3 linked regions of the Nothobranchius furzeri genome follow. The protein of the gene in region 1 purifies or fractionates together with the protein of each later gene. This does not show direct contact. Links are inferred from orthologs where the notes say so. Each region holds a gene or a part of one and is shown on either strand. Other genes may lie near its edges. The genes, in order: vti1b, stx6 and stx12.

Region 1 (7,417 bases):
AAACCACCAGCAGCGTCACCACTCCGATACCCGCGATGATTAATAAGAGGATCATGGTGCTGCGATTTGGCGCTTGGCTGAGAGGCTCCCAGCAGGATGCTGCTGCTGATGTGTAGGCTGAACAGCTGATGTCAAACGTTGAGAGAGCAAGGATCAGCCAAACACGCGAACAGCATTGTGGGATTGTAGTTTTCTACACTGACGAATACCAGAAAACGTACTGTCCACTCGATTTTGACTCACTTTTAGTGTCACGTGTGAGGATTTCAGTTTGACCAATTTATTTTTGATACTGCCAATCAGTAGTAGCTTGTTTAAATAAATGTTGAAAATTTTTTTTCCAACACACAGGGTGTGAATGTGTGTGTGAATGGGTGAATGACTGATTGCGTTGCAAAGCGCCTTGGTGGGTTCCAGGATTCTAGAAGGCACTATATCAAATACAGACCATTTACATAATTGTTTTAGTTGCCATTTCATATCTTGCTGTTCTTTTTTTTTTATTCTTTTTTTTCGTGTCCTTTCTGGCTGTGAAGCAAACGAATTAATGTCTGCATGCTGGTGACAAATTCGGAGACAGAGGTGAAAGAGAAAGGAAGCGACAAAAGGAAGGGGGTGGGGGGTTCCACAAAAATAAACAATCAATGATGAACAAGAGTTTGCTTCTAGACCTGCAGAAAGAGCCCAACACTGAGCAAAGCAACCCATCACGCCAGCTCCCCCTCCTAGCCTCTAGCCATGGGAAGCCAATAAGAAGAAGAAAGTATCATTTATATAACGCCTCTCGAGATAAAAATCACAAGGCGCTTCACAAAAACAAAAATTGTAAAAATATAAAAAAGCATTTAGAAAATGTTTAAAAATGTATTTAAAATGAGCAAAAATAGGCAATTGTGATTAAAAATGTTGAGAAAGAGAGAAAGTGAACAGGAAAGAGGGAAATCAGTGGATCTTGAGGAAGGTGGAATAGGTGGGGAGAGCAGAATAAAGAGAGAGTGGTGAAGAAGGTCATACAAAAGCCAGCTTGAACAAGTGAGTCTTCAGCTGCTTTTTAAAGGAGCCCACTGAGTTCACTGATCTCAGGCTCAGGGGGAGAGAGGTCCAGAGTCTGGGGGCCACAGCAGCAAATGATCTGTCACCTTTGGTCTTTAGCCTGGTGCTGCACAACCAGTAGGCTTTGATCACTGGACCTCAGGGACCTGCTGGGGGTGTAGGGACTGAGAAGATCACCAATGTAAGATGGTGCTTGTCCATGTAAGGCCCTATAGACCAGAACCAGGGTCTTGAAATGAACCCTGAAGTTGACTGACAGCCAATGAAGCTGGAGGAGAAGCGGGGTGATGTGGGTGTGTTTGGAGGACTAGGTCAGAAGCCGAGCACAGACATTCTGAACCACCTGTAGACGGTTCAGGGAGGTTCTGCTCAGACACGTGAAAAAGCGACAACACAGGTGTGCTAAGACCCCTAGTCTCCCTCTGCCTGCTCCAATACAGTGTTAGTGTGTGTTGATGAGGTGTATTCCATGGTTGTGGTGAGCGGGCAGTGCGGGCATCGTCTGGCCTACGCTAGCTGATGCCACCACACAACCCCACTTCCCCCCACAGCCCTCTGTATCTAAGTGAAGTTTAATATTGGAAGTGGGCACCGGCACTCGGGATGAGGCTGAAAGATCCCCTTGCCAAATGCCGTTGAGTGTGCTCACTCCCAAAGCCCTAAGTGTGTGTTTACGTCGAATGTCATTGGTGGAAGTGCTTAATGTGCAAATAAAATTGGGGGGCAGGCTGTCTCAGGAATGCGGAAATGGGATCCATACCTGTACCCCCTGACTTGCCCACCCCCCATGATCCTATGTGCATGTTTGTGTGATGATGTGAGGGAGCAGGAGGAAAAAAAAATGTATGGGGATGTGGAGGAATGGTTGATTGGCCTAAGCCCTCCAGGGAGCTAGCTCCTCCACTGGCCCCAATAGGCACCTCTGTTCCCAAAATGCCACCCAGGGCATGGAGACCCCAGCCCACCTAGCCAGGGCCCAAAGCAGCAGCATCGCAGAGCCCTACGGAGTCCGAGGGCACCAACCCAGCCCCACCCCAGCAGAATATCTACTCCCATCCCTGCATTTGCACAACTTCCAGAATATGTAAGACATAAGACATCAGGTAAGGTTGGGTCCTCCCCCTCCTGGACAACCCCCTCCCCCGTGATGTGACAGAATTGTTATTATTTCAGAGGAGCCAAGGTCCACCTGAGGCCCCTGAGCCTGGGCCAGGCACCGCCGTGTGTTCCCGCCTTCTTCCCAGCAGCATACAAGTTAGGAGCCAATCCCCAAGGCCCCGCCCAGATCCCCACATGGGGGCCAGCTACCCCCACACCCTTAGCCCCCAGGCCCCCACCCAGACCCACTCAGGGGTGATGCAGCCACCAGGCAGCAACCCATCGCCACCGTCAAGACCCCCCAAGGGGCTCCACTCACAACCGCCAGTAATCCACCCCTCGAGGCAACCCAAGCGCCTCCAGAGTGGGACAGCAGCCCCCCAGCCCCAGACACCCCCAGTGAATCCACCTCCAAGGAACGTCCGGATACTGCAAGCGCAGACCCTCCACCCCATCACCCACATCATCCCGCAGGACAGTATCAATGACAACCCCCCCCCCCCCCCCACACACACACACACACACACAATCACCTCTATGTGATGGAACCGATCAAAGGAGCCCATATAGATTGATTTGAAGTGGAAGAAGAGGCTGTCTCAAGTGTAATATGATCCAACAAAAGATTTATATACTGGTTAATGCAAAGAGTATCTCTATTTTTCCAATTCATGAGGATAGTTTTTTGAGCGACGCATATGGCAGTCAGAACCACGTCAACCAAAGGTGTTTCAATCGGGACATCATCCAGGTATCTTGCTATTCTTTATAGGTAGCCTTGTATCTAAATAGTAAATAATTTATAAAACAATAATTCTGTACAAAATTGATTATTATTATAATGTATCTATAATTTAGGCCCATTATTGTTTTAGGAAATAGCCTGGCTAGAAAATAATGTAAACAGACAAAGTAAATGCACACTAATATAAACTTCGTTCATTTTTATTTAATATTGTAGTGACTAGTAATAGTTTATCTTATTTTATGATGTTTCAGTTGTCTTTTAACAAATGTTTCAAATCTTTTTTAGAAGAATTAGCGGAAAAACTACAGTTCCCAGAGACCGTTTAAAGCTGTCTACCTTCGTGCCTGAATAAAATACGTTAAAATAACTTGTAAGACATTTAAATAGTGTTAAGCATATTGATGGTATTGTCACATTCATCTTCAGTATTGAAATAAATTTCACCGAACGTTTAGCATGTGAATACTTCAAATTTGTAGCAATGTTGTAAAGTTTAGGCACTTGGTCACGAGAGTCGTCATGCGGCAGCGGAAGAGTCTCATCGAAGCACAAGCAGTTGATCCACTTGTGTAGTTCGTTCCGTCCTTTAAAGAAAAAGGTACAGGTGGCCTTTTTATGACAGACAGCGAGATTACATTGACGGAAAATGTCGTCGGAAGAATTTGAGAAGTTACACGAAATCTACAGATCCTTGTATGACGAGCTAAAGCTAATCCCAGAGAAGGCTCTCAGCTGTACCGGAGGTAAATAAACCCGTTGTTCCCTCATTTAACCTCGTTTAAGTGTCAAATAACAAAACCTTCTTGGTTTAAACCTCGAACTTGTTCTGTTCCTAATGCAGAGGAGAGGAAGAGACTGGTGAGGACCTTCGATGAGAGACAGGGGGAAGCTGATGAAGTGGTAAAAACGTTTGTTTACGTCAACATCTTCACTTGTTTCTGTTTGTTATTTATTAACAGTGAGTGTTATAAATAAGGCCAAGAGTTTGCTGTAATTATTACCGCAAAACATCAACATAAGTACAATGACTGGCTGTGATGCTAAAGCTAATGTAGCTGAATGCATCTTGTGTGTAAAAACCATCGACATTAATATATGGACAATGGGTTTCCATAGACTCCAATAACACGTTTTTGAGGCTAAATGGGAGGTGGCCACCACCGCCATTTTGACCGTGTCACAGGTTCCGTCAAGCCCAGACAATTCCACAAAAGGGAAGAGAGGAGGAGCTGAGGGTGGGGCTGTAAGGCTGGGATCAACTGACAACACCCGGTCGAGCTATCTACAAGCTAACCTGAAGCTAACCCAAAGCTAATGCGGATGTGGGAGCTAAGCTATCGGAGGTAGCAACCTAGCTACAACTGGAGTTAACTGTGCACAACACCAGAGCTTCTGAGTCAGAGGTACGCCGGGCTGACCGCTGGGTAAAATACGGTGGAACCCAGAGGTCTCGGAGACCTCCACAAGCCGGCAGCCGCACAGTACACAGAAGCCGCGATCAGACAGATGCGTCGAGCTGCTGGGAGAACCAGCCGTCAGCTCGCTGCAGCAAACAGAAGCTGCGATCAGACAGATGCGCCGAGCTGCGGGGAGAAGTGGCGTATTTTGGCGGTTCTGGCTTGCCATAAGAACCAGCCGTCAGCCCGCCGCAGCACACAGAAGCCGCGATCAGACAGCGATGCGCCGAGCTGCTGGGAGAACCAGCCGTTAGCCCGCGCAGCTAACAGGAGCCGCGATCAGACAGAGATGGACCAGGCTGCGGGGAGAAACAGCCGGCATTCTGGGTGGAAAACATCGGTCTCCCGAGAGCTCCACAAGCCGATAGTCGGAACCCAGCTCCACCAACATGTTATATTTCAACCCATTTTCTAAAGTGCAGCATTGTGTTAAATGCACTGGGTTTTACCCTATTACATTTAAATTTCATGGTTAAACAGTACATGTTAAAATCTAAGCTCAGCTTGGCAGTGACCTAAAATACATAAATATAATTTTACTTACCGAAAAAAATGAAGTGGAGACTCCTTGGACGCTCTATTAGTGCAATTAATGCCACAGCAAGTCATTTTGTCCAACAATTGCACAAAAAATATCCAAAAAAGAATACACAAACACAGAGACTCAAAATCCCGGAACAGTTTCCAAGCCAGACTGAGGCTCTACTGAGGCCTTTCCACGGAGCTAGCTCTGTGGTCACGTGTGTCGGATGCTCATTAATTATACAGAATTTTAGGCTTTTAATACACTTAAACAGAAGAGTGAGAAAAAAAATTCACCCCCCTCAGAGTTGTCATGAGTATAAACTAGATCATTTAAACAAAAAACATGTTTTGGTACCAGGCTGTAAACATGTTTATTTCTGCTGTGAAATTGGCATTTTTAACATGGGAGTCAATGAGGATTTGCTCGTTTCTGACACCAGCCCCCAGCGGATGAGGGTGGAACTGCAATTTCTCTTACTTCCGGGTTGGCCTCAAATTTAAAGCCACATTGTGGGGGCCTGGTAAAAACGCAGCTTTACACTTTAAGCAGAGAGGTAGTGCAGTAATCATTAAATCAAAAGTCTATTAAACTTCAGTGTTAAAAACACAGAGGAAGATGCTTAAATACGTGCCTCACACTGCCAACTTTATTCGGTACACCTTGTATCTGCAGGGTTAGATCAGAACTACCTTCTCTCTTCATGTCATTGATCCAACAAGATGTTGGAAACTTTCCTTAGAAGTTCTGGTCCATATTAACATAACATCACACAGCTCTGTTCATAAGGAAAACCTCCTACTCCACCACATTCCATAAGTTCTGGACTGAGATCTGGTGACCGTGGAGGCCGTTTTTGTCCAGTGAACTCATCGTCATGTTCTAGAAACCAGTTAGAGATGCTCTGAGCTTTGTGACATGGTGCATGATCGTGCTTGAAGTAGTATCAAAAAATGGGTCCATGTGGTCATAAAGTGATAGACATGTATGGTCAGCAACAAGGTTGTGGTACTTAAACTAGGCTCAGCTGGTACTAAGGGGTCCAAAGTGGGACAAGAATGCCACCAGCAGCAGCTTAAAGCATTGATGCAAGACAGAATGGACCCATGCTTTCATGTTGGTGACACCAGATGAATTGAAGCCTCAGTATCCTTTTCTTAGCTGACAGGAGAGACACATTGATGTGGTTTTCTGCTGCTGGATCTGCTTCAGGCATCATCATGTTGTGGTTCAGAGATGCTGTTCTGCAGACCTTGGGAGGAACGAGTGATTGTTGGAGCTGCTGTTGTCTTTTTATTTATTTTTTTACGGTGTCCTGTCCGGCTGTGAAGCAATCAGAATTGATGTCTGAATGCCAAAGATAAGTAGTATTATTAATTGTATTATTTAGTCTGGCAACGCTCTAATTATGGCTCTCAGTTGTGGGGCAGGTTCAACCGTTGTCTTTCAAATGATCTCCGCATGCTACTGGACAATGAATGTGACATACTCTTGTTTCTAGGGATGGGTACCTTTGACATTTGAATCGATTCGGTACTAATTCCCGGTACCTACGAATCGATACCGGTACTTAACGGTACCAATTTTCGATACTTTTGAGTGTTTATTATTTTAATTCTCTTTTATAATTAAATATATATTTTTCTCAATATATAACAACATTTGACAAATATCACGATAAATAACATTCAACTGTTTGTATTAACATTGTCCTTGTAGTTTTATAAGCTGATAATTAAACTGAAGCAAACATCTTTACTGTGAACTAAATTTACTGTGTATCTTCATTCCTTTTGCCGTCTTTTTTCATTTAATTTTTCCTACTGGGAAGTTAGAATTTCCGAGGAGAAAGCGAACGCACCATTAGCTGATAACAACGGTGGCAATGGAAGCTAACATATCAAGCTAACGTTATCTTTAACAGTTTATTTAACTGCTGGAGCAGATTAAAACAATAATGCCTCACACTTAGATCGTTGTCACTGGTTTCATCTTCACCCAATCACCCGTCGCATTTAGTAAAGTGAAGCCAAACTTTAGAGCGCGTTCATGTTCTAGTTGGAAATTCGGAGTTCCGAGGAGAAAGCGAACGCACCATTAGTGAAACGGAAGCTAATATATCAAGGTAACGTTATCTTAAACATTTTATTTACCTAACGGAGCAGATTAAGATGAGGATGTCTCACTTAAATCGTTGTATGTCGCTGGTTTCATCATCACCCAGTTACCCATCACATTTAGTGAAGTGGACCCAAGCGTTAGCGTGCGTTCTTTCTACCATGCTGCTCTGTTTACAACACGCTCGCAGGGACCGACGACATAACGCTCTTGCGCATGCGCAGCTGTCTTGGCAAGTTCTCGTTATGAAGGACGGGTACCAAAACGAGGCACCGTTTGAAACAACGTGAATCGTTGCTCGGTCGGTACCTTAAAAAGTACCGAATTCGATACCCATCCCTACTTGTTTTGCTCTGTTGCATCATCCCACCCACCAGGCATATAGAGTGCCCTGATTGGCCCACAAAGCGGATAAAGCTC
Region 2 (7,105 bases), on another chromosome or scaffold:
TTTCCTCCGGGTACTCTGGTTTCCTCCACAGATCACAACATGCCCTATAGGTTATAGATTGTAAATCGCTTTGGATAAAAGCGTCTGCCAAATAAATAAACATAAACAGGTAGAGCGGGTTGTCCAGTAATCGGAAGGTTGCAGGTTCGATCCCAGCTCTGGACAGAGAATTCTGCTGTTGTGTCCTTGGGCAAGACACTTAACCCACCTTGCCTGCTGGTGGTGGTTGGAGGGACCGGTGGTGCCAGTGCTCGGCTGCCTCACCTCTGTCAGTGCGCCTCAGGGCAGCTGTGGCTGCATCGTAACTCATCCCCACCAGTGTGTGATGTGACCATAGACAGTGTGTGAATGGATGAATGATACACTGTAGTGTAAAGTGCTTTGGAGTCCTTACTCTGAGAGGCGCTATACAAGTGCGGGTCATTTATCATTTAAACTTGTCCATCTTGTCCTGTTTCATCAGTACCGTCTCTCCAACATCCACTTTTGAATACAGTGCTGCTCTTCGCTCATCTGCGTACAGCTTTAACTGACCCTTTTGTTCTGCGGCTCTGTCACGAACGTCCAACGCTGTTGTGCTCGACCCACACAGTTCTGGTAACTTTCCTCTTATTTTCCGGTTAAACAGGAGTTCCGCTGGACTTTTCCCGGTGGTAGGATGTTCGAGTCCTCTGTACACTGCCACACATCTTCTCAATTCCTTCTGCCACTCAAGTCCTTCGGCCTGAGCAATCCTGATCCTCTTCATCAGCAATGCATTTTGCCATTCCACTTCTCCATTAGCTTGAGCCCATTTTGGAGTTGTTTTAATATGAACGTCCTGTCCGGCCAGGTGCAGTAAAAGAGCGCGTCTCCGCTGCGCCATCACATCAGACGTCCCGTCGGCGATGATAAGACCTTTCTCGTCTGCATACAACTCGAACAACGTCAGCTATCGCGTCCATCTTGATCCGAGAGTAGCAGGTTCTGTGTAGCATGCAAATGGCTGGATCCCCGTCTTCTCCATCGTGAACGCAACTTTCGCGTCCAACTCCGCCACTTAAAAAAAAAAGTCCTGTTTTCAAACACTCGTCTCCGTCATCCTCGTCACCATTGTTGTGTGTGTCGATCTTACTTTATTAATGAGATAGGACATTCTGAATTGGGGCTGCTCAGTGGCACAGTGGTTAGAGCTGTTTCCTTGCAGCGAGAAGGTCCTGGGTTCGCTTCCCAGCCTGGGATCTTTTTGCGTGGTTTGCATGTTCTCCCTGTGCATGTGTGAGTGTCTCTGTGTTGCCTGGCTCTCTGTAAAGGGTGTACCCCGTCTGATTGCCCATTGACTGCTGGAGACAGGCAACAAACCCCCACCCCCACCCCACCCCACCCCCCAGATGAGGCCCGCGGAGCATTCTTATGTGGCCCGCGAGATAAATATCAAAAATATATTAAAACTGGCCCGCTGGCCGATTTTACCGCAAAGACTACAACTTCCATGATGCTTTGCGGCGTCAGCGCGCAGCCGACGCGCCCCCTCCTTTGTGTTTTTTCCAGCGCCTGCTGCCGGTGTCAGCAGCTCTGCTGTCTCGGACAAACTAAACACTCCTCTCACTCAGCGCCGAGTTCACTCAGCTGTTTTCTGACGTTGAAGCCCAGAAACGGAGATTCTAGCCGCTCAGTAATGTGTTCACGACTGAAAGAGAAGTTTTCCAACTAACGTCCAGACAGAGCCGATATAACTCCAGCGAGCAGCGACACGCTCAAACCAGCACGACTCTGTGGTCGTGTTTCCTCCCCGACACACAACAACGTGCTCAAGCTGCTCAGACATGTTCATCAGCACAAACCTATGTGAGCACCTGTTGTCATCTAATGTTGTCATTATTATGATGAAGATGAGCAAAACAACAGGAGTCTCCTCCTCAGCTCAGACCAACCCCATGATGCAGGTATCTGGCTGGAACAGGTGAGCATCACAGTAAACCAGTGGAGCAAACTGAGCTTTAAATATGTTGGTTTTATGCTCTTTTTCTGCTCCAAAACATGAAAGTTAACAGGTGAGATGTTGCATTTTCATTTAAGATTAAATGATATTTGTATTTTGTTGTTGGCCCGTGAGCAGGGGCGGATTTAGGACTGAAGAAGATCCGGGGCTTAACGCACACATGCACGCGTGCACACACACACACATGACACGCACTAGTCAACATCATATATATTTGTCTTGTACCACATAATTTTTAATCTGAAGCTACATATTAAGCATTTTCAGGGCAGAGTATTGTTCCTGTTAGTGTTTAGTGTGAGATGATAGTAAATATTCCCGTTCTTTCTCCAACAACTTTACCTGATAGTAAGCTAACTTTAGGCAAACCAGCAGCACAACAAATATTTTCTAATAAGACTCACAAACCTGAGTCAACACCAGTCTCATCAAAGCTGGGGTTCTGTCGCCGTACTTTTGGTCTAAAAACGTCCTTATGTCCATCTTCACTCATGCGTTTCAGGCAGAGAGTGTAGAAGAAGCCGGCTGCTGAAGGGCTTCTTCTTCAGTGGTGGAGGCTCAGGCAGGCTGTATACAAACTACTGCCAGCTGCTCCCTCTCTGTTGGACTTTGGTACTGCATGTTACTTCCACGATTTAGATCCGGGGCTTATCATGAAACATCCAGGGCTTCAGCCCAAGTAGCCGGGCCTAACGCCGGCCCTGCCCGTGAGCAAAGATTTAACCTACAGTAAACAGGAAGTGGAAAGGCTGCAGATAGATGAATAGAATAGAAAATCTCTTTATTGTTCCTCAGTGGGAAAAGCTAGACGTCACAGCAGCGATGACACGTATTACAGGAGAAAAAAAGGAGAATAAAAAATAAGAAAAATGAATAAACAAGAAAACATAAATCCTGAAAAGATTTTAAAAATGCTGATTATACCACAAGTAATGAATACCACTGATGCCTTTTATTTAAAACCGACTTGCTCGTGTGTAATTTGGTTATTCCACATTCAGTGTTAATGCAGAAATATGTTTGTTTCCAAATTTAAAGGTTCAAAATTGCATATATGTTGATAAAGAAAATGTGCAAATTTGCCATCACTTTTTCAAAAATATTAAGTTTGGCCCTTGACTCCGTCCCAGAGTTTCATTTCGGCCCCGTGTGAGTTTGAGTTTGACACCCCTGCGTTACGTCATCACGTTCCCAATACATGACAGTTTCTACTAGCCTGGCAAGCCAGACTAAATAAATGTATTATTTATTTGCAAAGCAAGAATTTGGTCTAGTTCGCTAGGCTAAGTTTCTACAGCTAATTTTTTCCACTGATGAAGTATATATAATAGATGTACTTTTAATATTATATTAGCTAAATATTTACATACAAAATCCCCATGATTTAATAATTTCAAAGAACCTGATCTGAATGAGTATTGTATCTCTATTACCAACAGTAACTTAAAATGCCAAAATTGAAAACTAAAATAAAAGTGGTTTAAGAATATTTTAACAGATACTTTGTTGTGTTTTTGATTATATAGTGTTGTTATTTTAAGTTATGTTTAAATATGGAGTTTTTGTTTTATAATTGTTAATTTTTCAATAAAGTTTTGAAAAATAAAACTTACTTCCTGCACGGATGTGACGGAATGGTTGCCGCTAACGTGATTTGGAATCGTAGGATGTCCCAGGAAGTTCCTGCCTTTCTCGCCTCTGATTGGCTAGAACGTCTCTACTACGATTGGCTATTTCCATTTAGCAGCAAACCGTCTTCCACCGCTTAGTGCAGTCTGTGGTGTAAAGTGATAACGCGGTCCGGGTCTGCAGCCTTTCGGAGAGCCCTTGCAGCCAATCAAAGGCGAGAAAGACGGGATCTTCCTTGAACATGCTACGATTCCAATTGACGCTTCATTGCTACATGTAAACAAAGCACAGAGAGACGAGGCGATGACCAGAACCGGGCTGTAATCGGAACAAAGCCCTCGCAGCAGAGCCAGACTGAAGAATCTGGTTAGTGGACTGAACGCGAAGCGGAAAGATGTCCATGGAAGATCCATTCTTCGTCGTTAAAGGGTCAGAAGCATTGGTTATCTGCACTAAACTAAAGCTAGCATCCGCATAAAGCTCGAGCCACGACTATTTTCCGGTGCCGTGGGCAGCAGCTGTTAGCTCTAGAAGGCTGGTTCCGTTCTGGCTGGTCTGTCCAGCCCTCGATCAGAATTCCCCTGCGCGTATACAGTATGTAGTACGGTCAACGCGGGGTAGGCCTTTGTTGTTTTTCGCTTAAAAATCATGAGTGAATGGTATTCAAATGTCTTTTCACCCACAGACCTGCTGCCCACTGGGTGTTTTCCCTTTTTCAGACCATTCTCTGTAAACCCTGGAGATGGTTGTGTGTGACACTCTCAGATCAGCGGTTTCTGAAATACATGTAGTGAAAGAAAACAATCTTTTATAAAAGCACCTCTCAAAATAAAAATTACGAGGCACTTCACCAATAAAAAATGAATTAAGGCATAAAAAAGATTTCAGAGATGATTAAAAATATGTTCAAAATGAGAGAGAGAAAAATGGTGATGAAAAATAATGCTAGGAAATGGAGAGAGAAAATGAACAGGAAAGAGGGAAAACAGTGGATCCTTTGACCCAGCTCTCATCCTGGATTCTCATGTCAGTTCTCTTGTTGGCTCTTCCTTCTTCCATCTCAGGAACGTTGCTAAGCTGAGTCCCATTCTGTCCCGCTCTGAACTTGAGACAGTTCTCCACACCTTCATCTCCTCACGCTTAGACTACTGTAACTCTCTTTTCACGTGTCTGAGCAGAACCTCCCTGAACCGTCTACAGGTGGTTCAGAACGCCTGTGCTCGGCTTCTGACCAAGTCCTCCAAACACACCCACATCACCCCGCTTCTCCTCCAGCTTCACTGGCTGCCAGTCAACTTCAGGGTTCATTTCAAGATCCTGGTTCTGGTCTATAGGGCCTTACATGGACAAGCACCATCTTACATTGGTGATCTTCTTAGTCCCTACACCCCCAGCAGGTCCCTGAGGTCCAGTGATCAAAGCCTACTGGTTGTGCAGCACCAGGCTAAAGGTCAAAGGTGACAGATCATCTGCTGCTGTGGCCCCCAGACTCTGGACCTCTCTCCCCCTGAGCCTGAGATCAGTGGACTCAGTGGTCTCCTTTAAAAAGCAGCTGAAGACTCACTTGTTCAAGCTGGCTTTTGTATGACCTTCTTCACCTCTCTCTCTTTATTCTGCTCTCCCCACCTATTCCACCTTCCTCAGGATCCACTGGTTTCCCTCTTTCCTGTTCACTCTCTCTCTTTCTTAACATTTTAATCACAATTGTCTATTTTTGCTCATTTTAAATATATTTTTAATCATTTTCTAAATTGTTTTTTATATTTTTACATTTTTTTTTTGTTTTTGTGAAGCGCCTCATGATTTTTATCTTGAGAGGCGCTATAGAAATGATATTTTCTTCTTCTTCTTCTTCCTGGGAAAGGTGGAACAAGTAGAAAGAACATAATAAGGAGAGAGAGGTGATGGAGGTCACTCCAAATCCTGAACAGGTGAGTTTAAAGGAGACCACTGAGTCCACTGATCTCAGGCTCAGGGGGAGAGAGGTCCAGAGTCTGGGGGCCACAGCAGCAAATGATCTGTCACCTTTGACCTTTAGCCTGGTGCTGCACAACCAGTAGGCTGTGGTCACTGGACCTCAGGGACCTGCTGGGGGTGAACCAGGATCTTGAAATGAGATATATATACACAATATATATAAATACTATATCTATATCTATCTATATATGGTATTATATATATATATAAATACGATATATAAATACTATATATATATAAATACTATATCTATTTCTATCTATATATGGTATTATATATATATATATAAATACGATATATAAATACTATATATATATATATATATATCGTATATATATATATATATATATATATATATATATATATATATATATATATATATATATATATATATATATATATATATACACACACACACACAGTGGGTTTACAGAGAATGGTCTGAAAAAGGGAAAACACCCTGCGGGCAGCAGGTCGGTGGGTGAAAAGGCCTTGTTGAGGTCAGAGGTCAGAGGAGAATGGCCAGACTGGTTCGAGCTGATAGAAAGGCAACAGGAACTCAAATAACCACTGGGTACAACCAGCACTTTATGTTTTATATATGTATTTTGTTGTGCCTGAAATGAACAAATTAAAAAAAGGTATGCAGAAGAGCATATCTGAATGCACTACACGTGGAACCTTGAGGCAGATGGGCTACAGCAGCAGAAGACCACACCGGGTCACACTCCTGTCAGCTAAAGACAGGAAACTGAGGCTACATTTCACACAGGCTCACCACAACTGGACAATAGAAGACTGGAAAAATGTTGTTTGGTCTGATCAGTCTTGATTTCTGCTGCAACACTCGGATGGTAGGGATGGATGCATCCTGCCTTGTATTAGCGGTTCAGGCTGGTGGTGGTAGTGTAATGGTGTGCAGGATATTTTTTTACACACTTGGCACTAGAGCACCTTTGGGATGTGGTGGAACAGCCAGCAAATGTTCTGCTGCTTTTGATCCACCCTGTTCTTCTGATAATGACCCAGATTCCTCAACTTCTCAGTTTAATGAGTACTGCCTCTCCATCCTGGACAACATCTGTCCTGTCAGAACCAGATCAGTTCCTGCACCAGGGCTGCAGCTATCGAATATTTCAGTATTCCAGTATTTTATCGAATCTTCCATCGATTAATCGAGTATTCTACTTGACGACATTTCAAGTGAAAGGAGATTATGGTCTGCAGCTAAAAATTTGAAAATAAAAAAACAAAATTATAAAAGGCTCAACAACAGATGTTAAATTGGTGTTGTCTCGTTCCCTCCTTCCTAGCTGATATTTATAGTTCATAAATATTTTATGGAACAACATTTGACTTTTTATATACGGGTTGGCAAACTAATCTAGTCTAAGTTGTACTGAAATTTAAAAGTGTTCGTCAATTATATGCTACAACGGCTTCTTTATGCAGATGACATCCAACTGTACATCTCCTTTAAGCCCCATGAGATGTCTAAGCTGCAGCTGTTACACACCT
Region 3 (6,626 bases), on another chromosome or scaffold:
TATCATAAATTATTTATTGTATTCAGATTTCTGCTGAGGCACCTAGAAAGGATCACACTTTAAATTTTGTGCAATAAATAAATTTTAATCCACTAACTGATTCATAACAGAATAAATGCATGCTGAGTTTATGGTACAGCCACGTCTGATGCCTCATATTTTTAAAAAGATTTTGCAAAACATGTAAACTCACTTTAATCAAAGGACATGTTAACAGTGAAAATACAAGGCAAGAAACAGGAAAACACCACAGGTGTTTATTTGATTGAACTGTTGTTAACTAACAAACGACGGAGCTCATATTTGTGGTTAACGGTGAAACTGGTTCTGTTGGGGGGGGCATCAAAAGATTTTTGCCCCTTTGTTAAATAAAAGTTTACAAATGAAAACAGAATTCAGTTTTAATGTGAGACTTCAGTTGTTTTTAATCAAAATGAATGTTACTAATGTTTAATTTAGTTTAGATTATGAGTTAATTAATTAGAGACGAACTTGGAGATTTAAAATGTGAAATCAGGTTTTCTACGTGGAACTTCAGTCCACCTGACGGTTTGCACACAAACACATAAATGTTCTCCAGAACATGTACTGTCCGAGTTAAGAACAGGTCACCAGACAGAATAAATAACTGCTATACACGTTTAATGTGCTTCTGCGAGAACTTGTGAGGAATGGGCTGAAAACGCTGTACACTAAACCTCCAGCTCTTAACAGAACATTCAGACTAGAAATATTTGTTTAACTTTGTTTATATCCAACATCATCATCATCATCATCATCATCATCATCATCACTCGGACTCCTTTCGTCATCACCTCCGCGTTACAACAAGCGGTTCCGTTAGTCCTTCACAACTACATATTTACATTAGAAATGTGGTGACAGCTAGTGTTAGTGCACAGAAGAAATAGAGAACATCGGAAATGCTCCTCAATCCCCCCCCCCCCCCCCCCCCCCAACTCAAGCTTCAATTACAATCAGAGGCATCAATGAGCTCAGATGATCCCACGTGACTTCAGATGGTCTAGGACCAACACATCTTTAGTGAAGACTGACTGGTCCCAGTGGTGCTCCTGTTCTTCAGTTCTGCTTGCAGGTGGGACGGGGTAGAATAAAACACTGTTTGGTCAAAAACACTCATTTGGAAGAAAAATAGATGATAAGACCCAGGACCAGGAGTACTATAGAAACAACAATGGCCAGAATGCACATCTTCTTCCTGGACTTTTGCTGTGAGAAGGCAGAGACAGCAGAGAGAGAGAGAGAGAGTTAAACGCCCATTGTTAAAGCTTCCTGCATGTTTCCTCAGACTCTGATCTAAACTGCAGCCTGTGCTGTTTTGTTTTTACTGCTGTCATCAGCAGTTCACCTCTTAGAGGACTCTTTCTCCTATAAAGAGTGCAATGTTTCTGTGTTAAAGGCCAAGTTCACTGAGACATGTGAAAATAGTCTTCTACCCCTATTTCCTGCATCAGCTGCTGATGGAAAATAGACGAGGAAACTCGGATTAGAAAAGCCACTGCAAAATGTGTAGAAAACACAAGTGAACTTGGTCCTTAAGTCAGAAACAGGCTTGACTCCTTTGTTTCGGGGTTCTCACCTTTGCAAGAGTGAAACCATATTCTAATCACCCGCATGCCTCTTGGTGAGAGCATTTTTCCACCACAGAGGTTCTTTAACGACAGAAGATGGAAGAGAAGAACTCACCTGATACATAGCTGCCCTCTGCAGCTGCTCTGCTCCTCGTTCCACGTGAACTTCAGCGTTCTCCACATTTGCCTCGATGCTATCTGCAGCAGAACACAAGATCAGCTAACAGGAACAAGACAAAGCTGCCATAGAATCCATGGGCGTCATTTCTTTTGCCCACCCCTTCAGACAGAAGGATGGAAATGGAATAAATCAGGAGCATGAGAAGGGTTCCAGATGGCTACCGTTGCCCCTGATGACTCAGTCACTATTTTCATGGAAAACCTGTACATTTTGTGAACAGCGACACAAGAGTGAGGACCTCCCTGATGCTCAGGAGAGAGGTGAGAACTAAAGGGTGGCGACATTTCAAATATACTCATTCTGGTTAAGGTCAGGAGGCCTAGCAGGAAGCACAGACCAACCTTTCCCCTGCCACTCCCACCAGCTCCTCCCGTGGGACAAAAGCAGTTCCCAGACCAGGTCAGAGATACATTCCCTCCAGTGCACCATGGGTCAACCTGGATGGGACATACCCAAAACACTTCCCACAGTAGGGATCTTGGCCAAATGCTCCAGTTAGCCGCTCTGGACATGGACAGCAGTCCCACTCCGCAGGTTGTCTGATCTCTGAGGCTGGGCCCAGACACCCTGCAGAGGAAGCTCTTTTTGGTTCTCTGGCCCTGGTGGAGGAGCCGTGGACGCCTCAGAGACAGCAGCTGAGAGACAGACTCATCAGCCTATCTGACACTTATTACTACCAGAATTGTCCTAACAGACTCCTTCAAGATAATTCCTTCTCCATACGTTTTTCCATCTACACCAAACAAGAGGTTTAATCAACTCCAGGAAGACTGGGATAGACAACATTATAAAAGTGTTTGATTCACTAGGTGAACCCGAAAAACGACTCTTCAATCAACCAACAAAAACAAACATGGCCTCCTGTACATCCTTAGGTGATTATTTAACAATATCAAATGGCCCAAGTGGCTGGGGAGAGGGAAGTCTGGGCCTCTCTGCTTAGACTGCTGCCCCCACGACCTGACCCCGGATAAGTGGAGGGAAATGAATGGATGGATGGGATACATATACTGATCCAAACAAAGAAGTGGATAAACTAAATACCACAGAATTTATTACAGGTGGAAAAAAATCCAGTAGCCAATCACAAAGCTTCTTTAAGACCAATTTTTACAAGTACACACATGGCCACCTGACCCAGTATCCAGAATACTGCAACCAGTACAGAACCACTCACCAATCATCTCCCCTTGGTCGTGGATCATCACAGCCAGGTCCTTAAAGATCTGGTTCACATCCATGATGTCAGACTGAAATTAACCAACAGAAATCAGCTGCTGGTCCTCCAGTTGGTAGTGATGTCACAGGAGGTAACAGGAAGTGACGTCTCACCTCCAGCTGTCTGATGTTGGTCTCTCTCTCCTTGATCAGCTCCAGGTCCTCCTCCGTGACACCGACCTCCTCTGTCTGAGTCAGCTGACCAAAATCCTCTTGGCTTCACAAAAACAAAGGATAAAAGAAAGTCTTGTAACTTTTACTAACCCCTAAGTGATGAGAAGCACAGCCATCGTAGCCATCAGTAGGGACTCCAAGCTCAACAATTATAACGACTCATCCTTTATTCACATTTAACTCTTTGGTTACAAAGTTCCTCGAGAGACCAGATGGAAATCGCTTACTTATCAAACGAAACAAGCTTCTCATCACGAAAATTGTCTTCTGCCTAAAAGAGAAGACAAAGACACACGTTAGCCGATCCATCCTCAGTACATCAACAAGTGATTTCTGCTCCCAAGCAGAACATTTGACCTTTGACCTTAAACAGGAAGCTTATGCTGGGAAACCCTCCAATGTGGCAGCATTTAAACAATCCTGCAGAGAAGAGTGGGACAAAGATCCACCATGGTGATGTGAGAGGGTGTTAGAGCTAGCTTCCCAGTTTATTTTAGGGTTGATTTGAAGATTTGAATTCTTGTTTTTAAATGTTTGAATGGCCTTGCTCCCTCTTACTGCCGGTTTATCCCAGATCTCATCTCATAACCTGGGGCAACAGAGCCGCATCCTCTTGGTATAAGGAAGGCCAGAATGTTGGAAGATTTTAAACCTCGTTTCAAGACCCATCATTTTAAATTGGCTGTTTACTCCAGCTGATCAGAAACTGCCAAGCCGCCTTTTCTTAGCCATTTTAGGTTTGGTTAAGTTCTTGTTGACTGACCTGTACAGCACTTTGGTCTCCTTGTGATATATAAAGGGTTACTATTATTATTATTATTCTCTTACTTTGGTGGTGTGTGTGTGTGTGTTAAGGCTGTATGCTGTTGTCTCTCACAAATGTTTTTGGAGTACTTCAAATACTACCATAGTTTCCATTTTAGCACAGGTTCCAGTGGAAAACAACTCCTGTTTTATGCTCTTTTATTAATCACAATCAACATACATACATAAATAAACAAACAAATAAATAAATAAAGATTCCAATTCTGGGATCAGTCCAGTACATATTACCATTGCCTTGTCAATAACAAATAATTGATCCTTACCGATAGTCGAGATCCAGCCCTCGCTCTGGCTATCGACTCCCTCTCTTTCTCTGCTGCACGCCGCTGGACAGCCTGGAAGTTGTTGAGAGCGGCTGAGAAGTCATTCATGAGCCGCTCCCTCTGGATCTTCTGCTGCCTCTGGACACCACAGAACCAGACATCAATCATCCAATCCAACAAGCAAACCCAAACAAGAGTCAACAGCACAATCTGCCAAGGAGGTTTGGGAAGTTTTTCATGGAAGCAACCCACACACTCCACTGTTCTACAAATGTTTCTCCATTCAAGGAAACAGTCACACTTATCAATGATATTAAATTTATTACAGGAAGAATGTTACAACAGAGAAACATTGATCCTTAAAAGGGCTAAATAGCTAGCAGTTAGCTTAATTAATTCACCAGCTGTCAATGAAGAACACAAGAAGAAGAAGAAAAAAGCTTGTTTTTGTCAGCACCATGGTGGAGCCTGGAGGTAATAGTTGGAGTGTTTTGTCTTTGGAGGTGAAACAAAGAGCTTAAACCAGAGTGAACCTCACCATGGCCTACACTCATTGGAGGAAGCTAAAGGAGGCTACGAAATCACAGACTGATGGTGACCTGACTTTGTTGCTACTGGATTTTAGTAATATTATTTTTTGTCCAACAGTGTGGACATTTTTAATTTGGGGCTTACTTAGTAAGACTTGCCTCATGTTGGTGCTAGCTTGTTGTTAGCGCTAGCTACAGCAGCCTGCTGCAGGGTTGCTTACAACAATTGTAATTCCACTTTGAACCAGTAGGACGGAGAAGCTAGAAACTGTTTAGTGTTACTTTACAAACCCTTTGTCCAGAAGTCGAGTGCTGGGTTTTAGGATTGCTTCGAGGTATAAATAGGTAGCTTACTATAAACATACCAATGACAGCAGACTGGAAATATGCTTTTCTTATCATGTATTCAGTAAATATGTCAACATGAAAACTCAGAAGAACAACACAGTAGTTTTCCAACTTCTGTAGAGACAAATAAGACAAGACTGTATGAAGTAAACTTACAGTGGCTGAAGAAAAACTAAAGCAACATCACAGTAATAGATGTACTGTAACTTTATTATTATTACTGTCTGGCTAGATCAGACACAAGATTTTATCCATATCCCATCATGTCTTTAGTGGCATCTGATTGTTATGCTTTCAGTTAAACAGGTGTGTGTTTCCACACAGGCCAGGGCTGTTTGGACAAGATGTAGCCTCACAAACCTCATCTGTGAAAATGTGTGTAGAGTTTTGCACAAAGTGTAAAGAAGACATTAACCCTTTGATGCATAATGCTCACTACAGTGGACAATTAAGCACAGCTGTTGAAGACCTTGTTGCATTTTTGAGCCCCTCCATTTGGACTTCAGTAAGTCAAGCCAACATATTTCATGTTCAGAATGCACGCTGTCCACTGAGGTGGACATGTAGTAAATTAGTTGTAAATTATTAAATGTTACAAAAAATATTTGTTGAAATTTGTTTCATTCACACCTAAAGATGAATGAAAAAACTTGTTTAAAAAATCATGGTTGAAGATTTCATAATTCATGCATCGAAGGGTTAATGTTGAACAAATCAGCAGAAGTATTATTCTCCTTGGGAGTGGACTGTTTTATTTTATGGTGTAAACAATCATAAAAACTGTAGAGTCACGCAAAGATACTCCGCGGGCCACCTGCAGCATCCCTCATCCATTAACCCCTAACAGGTGTGTCAACAGAGCTAATCGGGGTAGACGTAAACCCAAGGGAGGCGTTGATGTACCTGCTCCTGTAATACTAGTGTTAGTCTCCATTAGGTGTGTGTGTGTGTGTGTGTGTGTGTGTGTGTGTGTGTGTGAGCCCGTGCACACGTGTGTGCGCACAAGTGTGTGATGATGACAAATATTTACAGACTGAGTCCTCAACAGAAGTGCATCTTTCTATCTTTCCATTTTTTAATTAAAAACCAAAAAACAAATGTTTTTTTTTATTGGATGCAAAAAAAAAAAAAGTCCAATTTTAGTCTCAGGACACGTTACGAAATGGAAAAATGGGCCACAGGACCAAATATGATTTTAATTAGTGATGTCAAAGTCAAAGCAAACATCTGGTCTCTGATTGGCCAACAGCCAAGTGACTGTTCCACTGCCTTTGTTCCACTTTATTATGTTATAAAACATCAGCGTTATATTATTTTATTATAATTTATGATTTTATTATGATAATATAACGCTGATGTTTTATAACATCAGCGTTATATTATTTTATTATAATTTATGATTTTATTATGATAATATAACGCTGATGTTTTATAACACAAGCCTGAAGATGTTCAACCATGTTGTGGAGTCACAAATGCTAATGGTTAGCTTCTA

The links.
Region 2: the proteins of vti1b (region 1) and stx6 purify together in Homo sapiens (affinity purification with mass spectrometry; 3 studies listed by BioGRID and IntAct, counting the BioPlex papers as one, with this or other methods). This does not show direct contact. The link is inferred for Nothobranchius furzeri from reciprocal best matches to the Homo sapiens genes VTI1B and STX6.
Region 3: the proteins of vti1b (region 1) and stx12 purify together in Homo sapiens (affinity purification with mass spectrometry; 3 studies listed by BioGRID and IntAct, counting the BioPlex papers as one, with this or other methods). This does not show direct contact. The link is inferred for Nothobranchius furzeri from reciprocal best matches to the Homo sapiens genes VTI1B and STX12.

The regions. Positions count from the first base shown.
Region 1 is NC_091758.1:18,877,015-18,884,431, reverse strand, and holds the start of vti1b (vesicle transport through interaction with t-SNAREs homolog 1B), read left to right. Parts: upstream 1-3,413; 5' UTR 3,414-3,545; coding exon 3,546-3,642; intron 3,643-3,740; coding exon 3,741-3,799; intron 3,800-7,417. Other genes in the region: rdh12 (retinol dehydrogenase 12), read right to left, coding at 1-55. UniProt on the Homo sapiens protein: V-SNARE that mediates vesicle transport pathways through interactions with t-SNAREs on the target membrane. These interactions are proposed to mediate aspects of the specificity of vesicle trafficking and to promote fusion of the lipid bilayers.
Region 2 is NC_091748.1:80,949,271-80,956,375, reverse strand, and holds the start of stx6 (syntaxin-6), read left to right. Parts: upstream 1-2,333; 5' UTR 2,334-4,004; coding exon 4,005-4,039; intron 4,040-7,105. UniProt on the Homo sapiens protein: SNARE promoting movement of transport vesicles to target membranes. Targets endosomes to the trans-Golgi network, and may therefore function in retrograde trafficking.
Region 3 is NC_091751.1:25,518,764-25,525,389, forward strand, and holds the end of stx12 (syntaxin-12), read right to left. Parts: intron 4,392-6,626; coding exon 4,254-4,391; intron 3,437-4,253; coding exon 3,393-3,436; intron 3,209-3,392; coding exon 3,106-3,208; intron 3,024-3,105; coding exon 2,951-3,023; intron 1,791-2,950; coding exon 1,708-1,790; intron 1,231-1,707; coding exon 1,138-1,230; 3' UTR 959-1,137; downstream 1-958. UniProt on the Homo sapiens protein: SNARE promoting fusion of transport vesicles with target membranes. Together with SNARE STX6, promotes movement of vesicles from endosomes to the cell membrane, and may therefore function in the endocytic recycling pathway.